Linked DNA regions of Daphnia pulex. The protein of the gene in region 1 purifies or fractionates together with the protein of each later gene. This does not show direct contact. Links are inferred from orthologs where the notes say so. Each region holds a gene or a part of one and is shown in the gene's direction. Other genes may lie near its edges.

Region 1 (4,269 bases):
TAGAAAAAAAAAATATTTTTGATTTGTTTTATTACGTCTAGTTCGGGATAAAGGCGACCGATGGCCTCGAAGAGCGGAAGCAAAACGAATCCGATGAAGGAGCATTGGGACGACGGTTTGGTGATCTTGTCCCGGTCCATGAAAGGCGTGACGGGTAAGCCTTCCATTTTCTCGCGGTCGCTCTGCTCGAAGAATTCCTGCAGGAGGCAATCCAGCCACGGCTCGGCCACATCCATCGGCCTGGCTTCGTTCGAAATGTCCGACACTTTGATCAGCACCATGCACAGCTGCCCGTCATATTTGTCGCGTTCCGACATTTTTAAAAAAAAGAGCGGGAAAAAAAAGAGCGATGAGCGACATATCGATCTTTTCTTTGGCGACAAAATAGACAAGTCTGCATTTTTTAAGTTCATTTTCTACGACTTCCGGATGGAGAAAGTCGGATCATGGCGCACTCGTCTGTATTCTCCTACACGTTAGAGAATACGATTAAGGGAAGGGAAAGAAAATCAATAGCCGACGAAATTGTTCCCTGGAAAGGTGAGATGACAGTCAACCTCCCCGATTTTCTGCCGTTATACGTAAGTACACACAACACTGGAAAATGGCATTCAGAACCTTTAATTAATCTGCTTTTCTCTCTGTCGATTCAAGTCGACGATCATTACGCAATTCAAAACACAAAAGACCCCGGAATAAAACATGGCGTTAGACGGGGGTGAAAGCTGAGCATATGGGTCTTTTTTTGTTTGACTGCGCGTCTTTTGCAGGAGATTTGTTTGGCAAAGCTGCCGACGAGTCTTCTTGTGCTGCTCGTGATTCGTTTGATGTCTGATACAATCGGCAAAAGCCGTTTCATCATCCACTTGTCGAACGCGTGAAACAATTTCCGCTCGAGTTCCTACTGGCAAACTTATCACAGCTGGGAGCGGGAGCTAGCTCCTTTTGTTGAACCTGCTCTGGCACACATTAAAAACGAAATAAAAGGAGACGCGGAGGAGAGACTGGAAATCATTATAGAGTCGATCTATACAGACTCGAGTGTACATATAGACACTGCACGAGAGTCTATATAATATGTCTCATGCAAATGACGGAATTGTTTTGCTCTGGAAACTTTTCTTTTTGACACTGTCATTCATTTGAAATCGAAACGAATCATTCCAGCAGGAGTTGATCCCCTCCCTCCAAAATCGCATTAAACTTGCAGACGAAATTGATTTCGTTTACCAACTTGCCACTTTCCACCGTAGTTTACAGCTCGTGATTTTCCACTCGCACAAAGAGAAATGTCACACGATGGCACTCGAAACTTTTTTTTTTCTTATTTATTTAGGTATGGAAATGGTACCGAGAAACACCTTTTTTCGCTTCGATTTCATTTGAGTTGTGCCATTTCACGAAAATAGGCAACGTCGTCTGCACTTTGTTTTCTTCTTTTGTCGTTCAAGTTTTTGGGTAAATTCGTCTGCTCAAATTGACGACGTCGAGTTGGGTAATGGCGTTTATTCATTCTCTCTGCTGCTGCTGTTACAATTTCCGGAATTCTCTCCCGTCGACCAGCTGCGTGTGTCTACATTAATCAGCGTGCCGAGCTTTGACGTCAGACTTGATCAGACTGTTACACTTGTTACTCTCTACCTGAGCTCCAAAAGTGCGTCTACACCGACGAGTTTGATTGGTGCCCATGGAAACTGACAGCCACAAAGTGTTTGCAGGTGACGTTTAGTGCCCAGATCGCACTGGCCGGCCTTCATTTCCGGGACTCATCACGACGGGAAACTTTTGTCACCGATAAAAGGTAAGTGGCCCCACCTACACATGTGTCACACACTTACCAGATTGATGTGGGCTCGATTGTCGTAATCAAAGATGGGGGCGATTTGATTGAACTGGTTGAGGATCTCGTTGTGACGGGCCATGTCGGTCGCCAGAATGCAGCGGATGATTCCCTCGCGGACGCTTTTGTAGACGTCGGCCGTGAAGGATCGGAAAATGTTGGCCGTCGAATCTTCCAAAATGTTGAACGCCACCGAGCAGTGGTGATTTTCCAGCGGCGAAATGTCATTGTAGCGCAGGGCCAGCTCCGTCCTGGCGTTGATCTGTTGTCAGATTGGACTTGATTAGACCTTTTTAGTACATGTAGAAAAGTTTCTTAAATGTCTATACAGTAGACAGGCCGTTGTTTATTGACGGGGAGGAGGAGGAAGCCCGTAGGCGATGCACAAACTCTGTGTAGAATCGATTAGATGAGGAGGAGGTGTATATCAAAGCGAAATGTACACACACACACAAGTAAAGTCGAGGCTGCTAGCTGCTCAGTAATTAATGAAGGCTCTCGCTCTACCCCCCATCATTCTCTCGCCCGCTCTCCGTGTGACTGCGTGTCATTACGAATGTAATATATTCCCGGGAAAAGCACTTTTTTTCTTTCCATGGCCGCCACTCTGCCAAAACCGTCGCTGCTGCTGTTTAACTGCTAATGTGACGCCCCACTCTATCGGAAATATCAGCTCTAAATGAAATATGAAAAACGAGCGTCACAGCACGGGTTACCTGATAAATGTTGTTGAATCCCGGATGATCGAGGTCGTGGCATATGCAGGAAGTCAAGAGGATCAGCGTTTCCAGGTCGCCGATTTTGTCTGGTAAATCCAGGCACCAAATGATGCCGTACATCTGCAAGCGCACATAGAAAAGGAAGGAGTATATGCATGTCATTAAAGTTTCACTCGATCGCCCGTCATATGCTGATGAAGGACACACACACACACACATTTCAAATGGGCTTTTTCTTCATCACTTTGACATGCAAAGCGTCGGTACACAGGGGCGTCGAATTTCTTTGAATATATTTTTAGACGCGCAAATTTCGCCTCGGGGCATCCCCGCCATTTTTCTTGTTTTTTAATTAAAATTTGACGGGAAACGCTCACTCTCGATGATTAGACGTAGTGTACCAACTGCAAATCGATTTTGGGTTATTATTTCGAGAGTCTGAGTAAGTAAGTAGCTCTTCGCTCCTTTTACATAGTGCAGCAGGCGGGCAGGGGGCGCCTTGTTTGAACAATAACAACGGCGGCGCACTCTTGAACTATCGCTTGTGTAACGTATTCCCGACAAAGGAGAAAGTTTCATATAGAATCTGCGGGAGTATATTATACATGTATTTTGTGTGTGTGTGGGTGGGTGTACACACGCTACGTTGGGCGATTTCCCTCCTACTCTCGCTTGAGAAATTTCCAACGAGTTATTTCTTGTTTCTTTTTTTCCATTCCCGTATCTTTCACGGTGTGTTGCCAATTGTTGCGTGTATGTGTGTTTAGTTTTTGATCGCTAGAGACGATCGATGTAAAAAGATCACGCAGGTTCGACCCGACATGAGAGTTCGAAACAAACGATACGATCGTCTGTTCGACTATTAGACAAGCGGTTTTGTGTGTGTGTGTGTGTGTGTGTGTGTGTTAGCATTGCGGTTGACACGGCCATCATCTTTTTTCTTCTTTCTGTCGATCAATAGAGTAACCAAGGCCCCCCGGCGTTGTCTTGGCTGGGAGACCAGCAGCCCCCACACATTTTTGTCTGTTATGTTTGTTTTCGCCCGCTTACCATTTGACTGACGGTGAAGCAGTGCTGGAAATTGTGGAACGGCACCTCGTTGTAGTTCATGTAAACTTGACAGAGGAATTTGCGCAGGACGTCGAGGTCGATGTCGAATTTGCTCAGCAAATCCAAATCGACGTACATTTGCTGCAGGAGCAGCAGGATCTCCTCGTCCTCCCATTGCCAATTATCGAATGTTGGCATCCGCAGGCAGCGCCGGATCTCTTCCGTCAATGTCATTGTGCTTTTTTCAGAGAAAAGAAATTAAGAATTCGATTGGGCGGGAGTTTTGAATGTATTTGATGATTATTACCTGATGTAAAGATATTTCTCGCAGACGAGTCGTTTCTCCGACTCGGATTTCCGACGGGCTTTGTGTCTGTTCCAATAAGGACGGCCCATTCCAGCGTGCCGGAATGTGGTTCCAGCTCTGCACAACCCTGTTGAGTAATCAAACGATTTGCGGGATATTCCCGTTCAAGTTGATGATACCACCACAAAGAGAGCTCGATTGCAAACGGGGAAAAACCCGGTCGATCTATTTTCGTCTGCCGTGATTCCCTTTTTTTTAATTTTTATTTTTGGAAGAGAAGGGGAAAAATATTGGAGAGAATCGTGACGATCGGTAGCGGGCAAACTCATTGACTACGAGGCCATTACGCGGCC
Region 2 (4,036 bases), on another chromosome or scaffold:
TCATCGTTTTCTTGATGGCCAGTTTGTGCGTGATAGTACCAATTACACCTGTTAGTGCTGAATCCACGAGCTTTTTACAAGAAATTGAAAGTCTCGAGGATGAATATTTTGCACTGATTGAAACGGTAAATCATTTAATCTGTAATTAGTCGTTTTTTAAATTAATTTTCTTTTTGTGTTAATATTAGATTTCAAAGGAGGATCACATTAACGATATCCTGATTCATGGTATGAATGGTTAACTTCTTTTTAGTTATTCACACTCACCTTTCTTTAATTGATCTTTTAATTCGCGTAACAAGGAACTTGCCCAAAACATTTCACGGCCAAAAAATTTCGTTGTTTGAAAGTAAACGGCGAATGCTACTGCATCGTCTCTGAAGATGTATTATAAAACACATATAGAGCAGTCTCATTTAAATGAAATTCAATCACTTGTTGGGTTACATCACTAATTATTTCACAGAGAAACTGGTGGAGTGCTCTCCATTATTGCCGGCAGTACGGCATGGAATTGCTGTCGCTTGAGACGAAAGAAGAAGAAAACAATTTAGCCAAACAACTCAAAGCAGAGAAAAAAAATGGTGATCACGGAAATGTTCTTTACAAAGTATAATTGAATGAAATCTAATTTTCAAAATTTAGTTCAAAAACAATTATACTTGACATCCGGTAATCGTCTTTACGGCAATCGATCAACTTGGATGTGGGCTGGTACAGGCGATATTCTCACGAGAGAAATGAATTGGCAAGAGGGAGAACCATCACGTGTACATGGAAGTACACAAGAAGAATGTCTAATTTGGGTTTTAACGTTTAATGAAACCCTCCTTATTCATGAATGGAATGACTTGAGTTGTACCGATCATCGTTACTCGTTTATCTGTGAATCTAAATCTCTACGACATAGTGCTGATATTTTGAAAACAAATAATTAGATCATTAGATTAAAAGCATTTTACCGTTTACTATTAAATCACATGACTACTCTTGTGTTATAAACGACAAATACGTCTAGATTAGTAGTGAACTACTTATGGTTGAAATGAACATGTTCACCCCATTTCCACTAAGCTTGCGCATGAGATAAAACCTGAACGAGGAAACTCGATTTTAAATTTCAAACTCTTGGCGCGAATCCAGTCTAAACTTGGTTAGTTAATCATAGATGTCGCTGATCAAGTCGACGCCATCTGGTGGACGTTTGGCTCAACACGAGTAGTAAACCCGTGCTGCCGAAAGCGTTGTCACGAATGTTAAGTGTTGCGTTTTGTTGGATTCTCACGTTTTGACGGCGACTTTAATTGGATTCACTTATTACACTATTTGTGTTGAGTGTTTCAGTGTTGCTTGTGACAGTTGGTGAAGAAGAAGAGAACGACCATGTTCTTTATTACCGCAGTTCAGTGCCTGTAATGCAAAATATTATTAAGGCACACAGCTGGGCAAATCTCGTGCGTACCTTACACTAAATAAAAGAAAGGTGTTGAGGCCGTCTACGAATCATAAGAAAAATTTGCAAAAAAAACAAAAAATATTAATACAGTTTGGATAGTTGCCAAACACTGATTAACAATCCTGTGCCAGTGTAGCAGCTGACTGTTGAGTCCACTCATCACTGTCCAGGAAAACATTGTAAATTCGCTATTGTGCTTGAGATTCAAGTATACTGTTGGCAACTTCTTATTTAATCAAAATGGCTGATGATAAAATGAAAGGTGATCAGGATTTTAAGAACCACAGTAATAATTCAACTACTTCTCCTCTTCAAGCAAAGCCAGCATCGGGGTTGGTGAGTAACCCTTCCAACCCGGAATTTTCAATTCTTACAGCATTTTAGGATAAAAAGTAATCTTAATTCAATATTGTATTTAGAAGCCAAACTATGCCCTCAAGTTTACCCTAGCTGGCCACACAAAAGCTGTGTCAGCTGTGAAATTCAGCCCAAATGGAGAATGGCTTGCAAGTTCATGTAAATATTTTGATGGTGTATGTTCAGGAGAATTATATTTCTAATAATGTTATAATTTTTTTATCATGAATAGCTGCTGATAAACTGGTGAAGATTTGGGGTGCCTATGATGGCAAATTTGAGAAATCAATCACAGGTCATAAACTTGGTATCTCAGATGTAGCTTGGTCTTCTGATAGCCGCCTGCTTGTGTCTGCCAGTGATGATAAAACCCTCAAGATCTGGGAACTGAGCTCAGTAAGTCTTTAACCATTTATTTGTGATGTTAGCTCATCTCTAATTCATGTATGTTCTTATAGGGGAAATGTTTGAAGACATTAAAAGGACACAGCAATTATGTTTTCTGTTGCAATTTCAATCCCCAATCCAACTTGATTGTCTCAGGCTCAGTAAGTTTTCAACCACTCGCCTTCTTTAAAATAGGCTATTGACCTTTTTGAATTGTTTGCAGTTTGACGAGAGTGTGCGCATCTGGGACGTCAAAACCGGAAAATGTTTGAAAACCCTTCCTGCCCATTCAGATCCCGTATCAGCGGTTCATTTTAACCGGGACGGATCTCTTATCGTTTCGTCAAGCTACGATGGCCTTTGGTATAATCGTGTTCATTTTACTAAATAAATTCGACCTCTTAATTTTATCGATTGGTGGTGTTGATCACTTGTTTACAGCCGCATCTGGGACACGGCTTCCGGCCAGTGCCTAAAAACGCTGATCGATGATGACAATCCTCCCGTCTCGTTTGTCAAATTTTCACCCAACGGAAAATACATCCTGGCTGCAACTCTCGACAACACACTGAAGTTGTGGGACTATTCCAAGGTGTCATCATGAATTCAACTCTAAAGATTTTTGCAGATTTTACCATTCTTTTTTCTTTGGCTCGTTTCAGGGCAAATGCTTGAAAACCTACACCGGCCACAAAAACGAGAAATATTGCATCTTTGCCAATTTTTCGGTTACTGGAGGAAAAGTACTGCTTTAACAATCCACGTTTCATTCTTTTACTTGAACATGTTTTTCTTTCTGCAGTGGATCGTTTCCGGCTCTGAAGACAACATGGTTTATATTTGGAACTTGCAAACGAAGGAAATTGTTCAGAAACTTCAAGGACACACCGGTAAGGCTTCCTACCGGGGGACCTGCTCCTTCTTTCACATTTAATTTGTCTAGACGTCACACGCGAACTTATATCCCTTCATGTTTCATTCTAGATGTCGTGCTGTGTACTGCATGCCATCCGACCGATAATATCATCGCATCTGCTGCATTGGAGAACGATAAGACTATCAAGCTCTGGCGTTCCGACACGTAGACCGCGCATTTAGCTTTGTCGCAATGAACCAACAACAAAAAATAATGGGAAAAAAGACGATGAAAAGCAGTTTTGAGGTGTGTACTTTATAGGAGAATTTTGAGGAAAAAAAAATGCAATTTCTTGGTATAAAAAAGTTTCCTGGCATTCTTGACTTCTCATGGCCTCCTCGTCGACAATACAAACATCTTTTTTTTTAATCGTTATAATTTCTTTAAGCAAGTAGATTCGAGTTTAATTGGGGTGATAGAGGCGCTGTGAAATGCGTTCCATATTGACGGCGTGCACTGTGTGCCAGGGAATGACGCCCTTTTTAACCTATTGTTTATTCAATAAAGAAACATGAGGATTAGTTTGAAGTTTTGAAATTAAATATCGACTTACTTGTAAAGTTTGAAAAACGTCAAGAACGGAAATCGGTTGAAGTGCGGTAACTTGTTCGGTAGTGCACGCTAGGTAGAATGCGGAATCCCGCTCTGCTTTCTGAGATGTTTGGGGTATGGCAGGAACGTGAGGTGGTTCCGCAGCTTGCGAAATTTCGGTCAGATAACTGATTTAAAATGAGAACACTTAGAAACATTGTTGTTGAAAAAGAATAGGACTGTACAATAAATATTTACCTGTTACTGGTACTGTCTTGGATGGACCATGAATTGTGTAGCCACGGATTAATTGTAGGTTGGCCAACCGAATAGATGACTTTGTTCTCTCGAAGGCGGTACCCTTTCCGGTTTGTTATGATAGCAATTAT
Region 3 (3,460 bases), on another chromosome or scaffold:
GAAATATGATGTTGAAGTGAATGTCTGCACAAGCTCCATTTGCGAAAATTCCATTTTGACAAGCTCCATTGCGAAAACGCGCCCTCAAGACATCTCGACTGGAAAATGACTGCAAAACCACTGCTCACACCATGAACGCTGCATCAACACCATTGGCAGCTCCAACATCAAACTAACCAAGAAATCCTGTAAATCAAGTTCAAAGGAAAACAATGAACCAATTACATTTTCAAATACAAGAAAGGGTTAATTTCTGTTTTATATTTAAAAAATACAATTCTATTGAGCAAATCTTTTCACAAAAGCTCTTAATTAGAAACATATAGTTGTTGTAAAATGTCATCTAAATCGAGAATTCAATGTCTGACCTGATTCCTGACAAAAATCACATGTGTAGCACACACTTTTAAAGTAGACTAAAATATAGGCAAATTCTAACCCACTCGAGTGTTCTAACAAGTTAAGTGCATGTCTGTGAAAGCTCTTGGCATAATTCAACTGGAAATTGAAACAATTTGCAAAACAAAACGTAATGAAGCTCAGGCTTTACTGCTCAACAGTTAATAGAAAAATTTAAATTACTTTTTGAAACAAAGTCACACAATTTTAATTCAGAAACAAAGTCTTGAATTAAAAAGTTAAGCAATAATTACTTTTTACTGTTCTGCATGGAACGAAACGTGCAACATTCAGCAAGAGACGACATTGTGGGAATGTACAGCAGGCCACATGCGATTACCAATTATGAATTGAAGACAATGTTACACGTTTTGAACCACACACAAAATTAAATTTTATAAAATTAAAGAATAAAAAATGGAATTACCATGTCTATGATCAACAATGTCACGTAAGAAAGTACCAGCAATGACTAAATTTTACCTTCTCGGACAGCGTCTCGACAGCAAAAGAAAGACTGTTCTGTCAGTCGTCTCAGGACTTTGACAGTTTGATGACCCATCCCCCTACACCCCTCTAGAAACAAACACACTAGAGCTGAATAGTTCAATCCCTAAACACGCTGAAATATTTAGCCACCTAGTGACAGCCCTGAGCATCCACGGACGACTAGAATGGGACGGAAAATAAACGAAATATTCGTCATCTCCGTGAAATACATTTAGTAGATAAAAAAAATTATCGAAAAATTAACAGGTGAGCTTTCTTGGTGGAATAGTTATCGTCAGTCATCACCAAAAAGTTACCACACAATGCCGATACATTTTTACAGGGATGTGCAAAATATTAAAATAACTGACTACAAAATAACTAAATAATTTGAGAGTTGAAAATGATCAAAGGCTATATAATAAAACCACTCGAAAAAAAGGCCTGATTTAGAAATTATTGCCATGGTTATACAATTTGAGCATGCTCATGCCATCTGCTAATGACGAATGGAACTAATACAGTTGATGCCATAGTTGCCATGGTGACGACAAAGCAACTGCCGATGTTACGATTTTCAATTTATTGTTTGGAAGGCTGATTTCCGATGACTGTTTTTAAACTCATCTTCATTAATTTAGTAAGGTTATTTTTCTGTGCATAAAAGATATGTAAATTTCAGAATTTAATTTTCTTTAGTTCTTGGTTTTCTTGGTGGCTTTTGCTTGGATTCCAGTCATCATTGCTGGTTTGAGCTCATCATTTAGGAGAGGTAGTTGTTATTAAACATATACATCATGGCTTTGTCATTAGATTCTGCCACACAGCAAGTCCAAGTAAGGTTGATATAATCAGTTGTTAAGGTATTTACTTAGTTCTAATTTGGATTGGGGTGCAGGAACGATTGAAGGGGATCTACAAGTTGGTCAAGCAGATTCAAGAAGAGAAAGTTCGTAATGAAGGTAACTTAAATGCTGTTATCAAAGCTCATGAAAAACTTCAGTCAGATGACAAAATTTCTCCATATCACAAGGTATTTCTATTCCCATATCACTAATTAATCAGCACTAATGAATGCCTATAAAATTATCAGTCTAAATTAAAAGGACTGTATTGCTCTGTGGTGGCTGATGCTGAAAAAGAAGAGGACCTTATTCGTAAGGCATTAAGCAAAATCTATGAAATTCGCGTTATCAGACATGAAAGGAGAATTCAGGTTATTCCCAAGAACGTAAACTTAGAAAATTTCACCTAACATTGTACTAACATTCTTGTTCAGGCAAAACAAGCTGGCAGTAAGGAAACTATAAGAAGAGGTGCTCTCATGAAAATGCTTCTCGTTACTGCTCAAACTCTCCCGCTGTGGATCAGTAAGTCAGGACAACAGCCACCAGCATTATGTGGAGCAGTTCCAGCTGACCCAACTTACGTTGCCAAAGTATTACATTATTCGAATGTCATAAACTGTTAATTGACTAACCGAAACACCTTATATGTATGTCAGCTGGGAGATATTGTTGCGGCTTTGGTAAAGAGTACAGACGGCGATGAGAATTGGATTTTGGCAGAAGTCGTTCAATATTTAGCTTCTTCTGGGCGCTATGAAGTGGATGATATTGACGAGGAACAGAAAGAGCGACACACTTTAAGCAAACGCAGAGTAATTCCTCTTCCTTTGATGCGAGCTAATCCTGAAACCGATCCCGATGCTTTGTTCTCAAAAGGAGCCACTGGTAAAAACAAAACAAAAAAATCGCAAATTTTAGCTGATCCGACGTTAGCATATTATTAACATACTAAACATTTGTTTTTAGTCATGGCTTTGTATCCACAAACGACCTGTTTTTACAAAGCGGTAATCAATCAATTACCCCAAACAGCTCAAGATGAATACCAAGTTCTTTTTGAAGATTCTAGCTATACTGAAGGATTCAGTCCGCCTTTGATGGTGGCGCAACGATATGTCATAGCTATCAAAGAGAAAAAGAAATGATTTCAAATACATTTGACCCTTTTTTCTATTCTCTCTTCTGTACAGCAGGATTTGTGTTTTTCACTACTTCTTCCAACCACGTATGAAACATGAAATAGAATCTAAATGGGGGAGTTTTTGAATCCGTAGTCGGCGTAGTCAGAAGGCTTCATTTTATCGGAAACTTTAGGGAAGTTCGGATCTCCTGGGTAAACTGCGGGTCTGGAGCCGAAAATTGCAAATCCTTTCTTGCGAGTCCAGTCCTAAAAGTTAAAATGTAGTATTTTGGGTGCTGTCCACTATTAGAGGCAAATACTTACATGAGAGTTGTACTTCAGATTGTAGGTAATTCCCAAAACCAGCCATCCAGCAAGAAGATATTTACCAACCCAATAGCGAGTAATCTGAGTTTTGTCGCCCTATGAATAAGAAAAAGAATTAGAACACAGATTTTATGAATTATGTAGTAGTCTCACAACCACAAAATGGACAGTTAATTAATTTTTAAAAGTAAAGTGTTTTAGTTCACATTACATCTGCTCGAACTAAATCGGGGAAATGTTACCCATAACAAAAGTTTTAAGTTCTGTTAATACTTAT

Evidence for each region. The genes of interacting proteins can lie anywhere in the genome.
Region 2: the proteins of transcriptional adapter 2-alpha-like (region 1) and WD repeat-containing protein 5 purify together in Drosophila melanogaster (affinity purification with mass spectrometry, with the first as the bait; 3 studies listed by BioGRID). This does not show direct contact. The link is inferred for Daphnia pulex from reciprocal best matches to the Drosophila melanogaster genes Ada2a and wds.
Region 3: the proteins of transcriptional adapter 2-alpha-like (region 1) and SAGA-associated factor 29-like purify together in Drosophila melanogaster (affinity purification with mass spectrometry, with the first as the bait; 3 studies listed by BioGRID). This does not show direct contact. The link is inferred for Daphnia pulex from reciprocal best matches to the Drosophila melanogaster genes Ada2a and Sgf29.

The regions. Positions count from the first base shown.
Region 1 is NC_060028.1:9,055,651-9,059,919, reverse strand, and holds the start of transcriptional adapter 2-alpha-like, read left to right. Parts: upstream 1-1,450; 5' UTR 1,451-1,801; intron 1,802-1,838; coding exon of another isoform or gene 1,839-2,102; intron 2,103-2,556; coding exon of another isoform or gene 2,557-2,679; intron 2,680-3,609; coding exon of another isoform or gene 3,610-3,847; intron 3,848-3,916; coding exon of another isoform or gene 3,917-4,043; intron 4,044-4,269. Other genes in the region: uncharacterized protein LOC124209580, read right to left, coding at 36-287, 1,839-2,102, 2,557-2,679, 3,610-3,847, 3,917-4,043. UniProt on the Drosophila melanogaster protein: Component of the histone acetyltransferase (HAT) complex ATAC; predominantly involved in acetylation of histone H4, including at Lys-6 (H4K5ac) and Lys-13 (H4K12ac).
Region 2 is NC_060023.1:11,642,723-11,646,758, reverse strand, and holds WD repeat-containing protein 5, read left to right. Parts: upstream 1-1,216; 5' UTR 1,217-1,696; coding exon 1,697-1,792; intron 1,793-1,875; coding exon 1,876-1,972; intron 1,973-2,045; coding exon 2,046-2,209; intron 2,210-2,271; coding exon 2,272-2,361; intron 2,362-2,423; coding exon 2,424-2,563; intron 2,564-2,641; coding exon 2,642-2,792; intron 2,793-2,862; coding exon 2,863-2,943; intron 2,944-3,002; coding exon 3,003-3,090; intron 3,091-3,184; coding exon 3,185-3,285; 3' UTR 3,286-3,485; downstream 3,486-4,036. Other genes in the region: transcriptional adapter 1-like, read right to left, coding at 3,520-3,603, 3,670-3,835, 3,906-4,036.
Region 3 is NC_060019.1:9,072,415-9,075,874, forward strand, and holds SAGA-associated factor 29-like, read left to right. Parts: upstream 1-1,408; 5' UTR 1,409-1,528; intron 1,529-1,587; 5' UTR 1,588-1,685; coding exon 1,686-1,724; intron 1,725-1,786; coding exon 1,787-1,921; intron 1,922-1,981; coding exon 1,982-2,104; intron 2,105-2,167; coding exon 2,168-2,326; intron 2,327-2,392; coding exon 2,393-2,621; intron 2,622-2,702; coding exon 2,703-2,881; 3' UTR 2,882-2,909; downstream 2,910-3,460. Other genes in the region: uncharacterized protein LOC124191408, read right to left, coding at 2,983-3,123, 3,181-3,279. UniProt on the Drosophila melanogaster protein: Component of both the SAGA and CHAT histone acetyltransferase complexes, which both predominantly acetylate histone H3.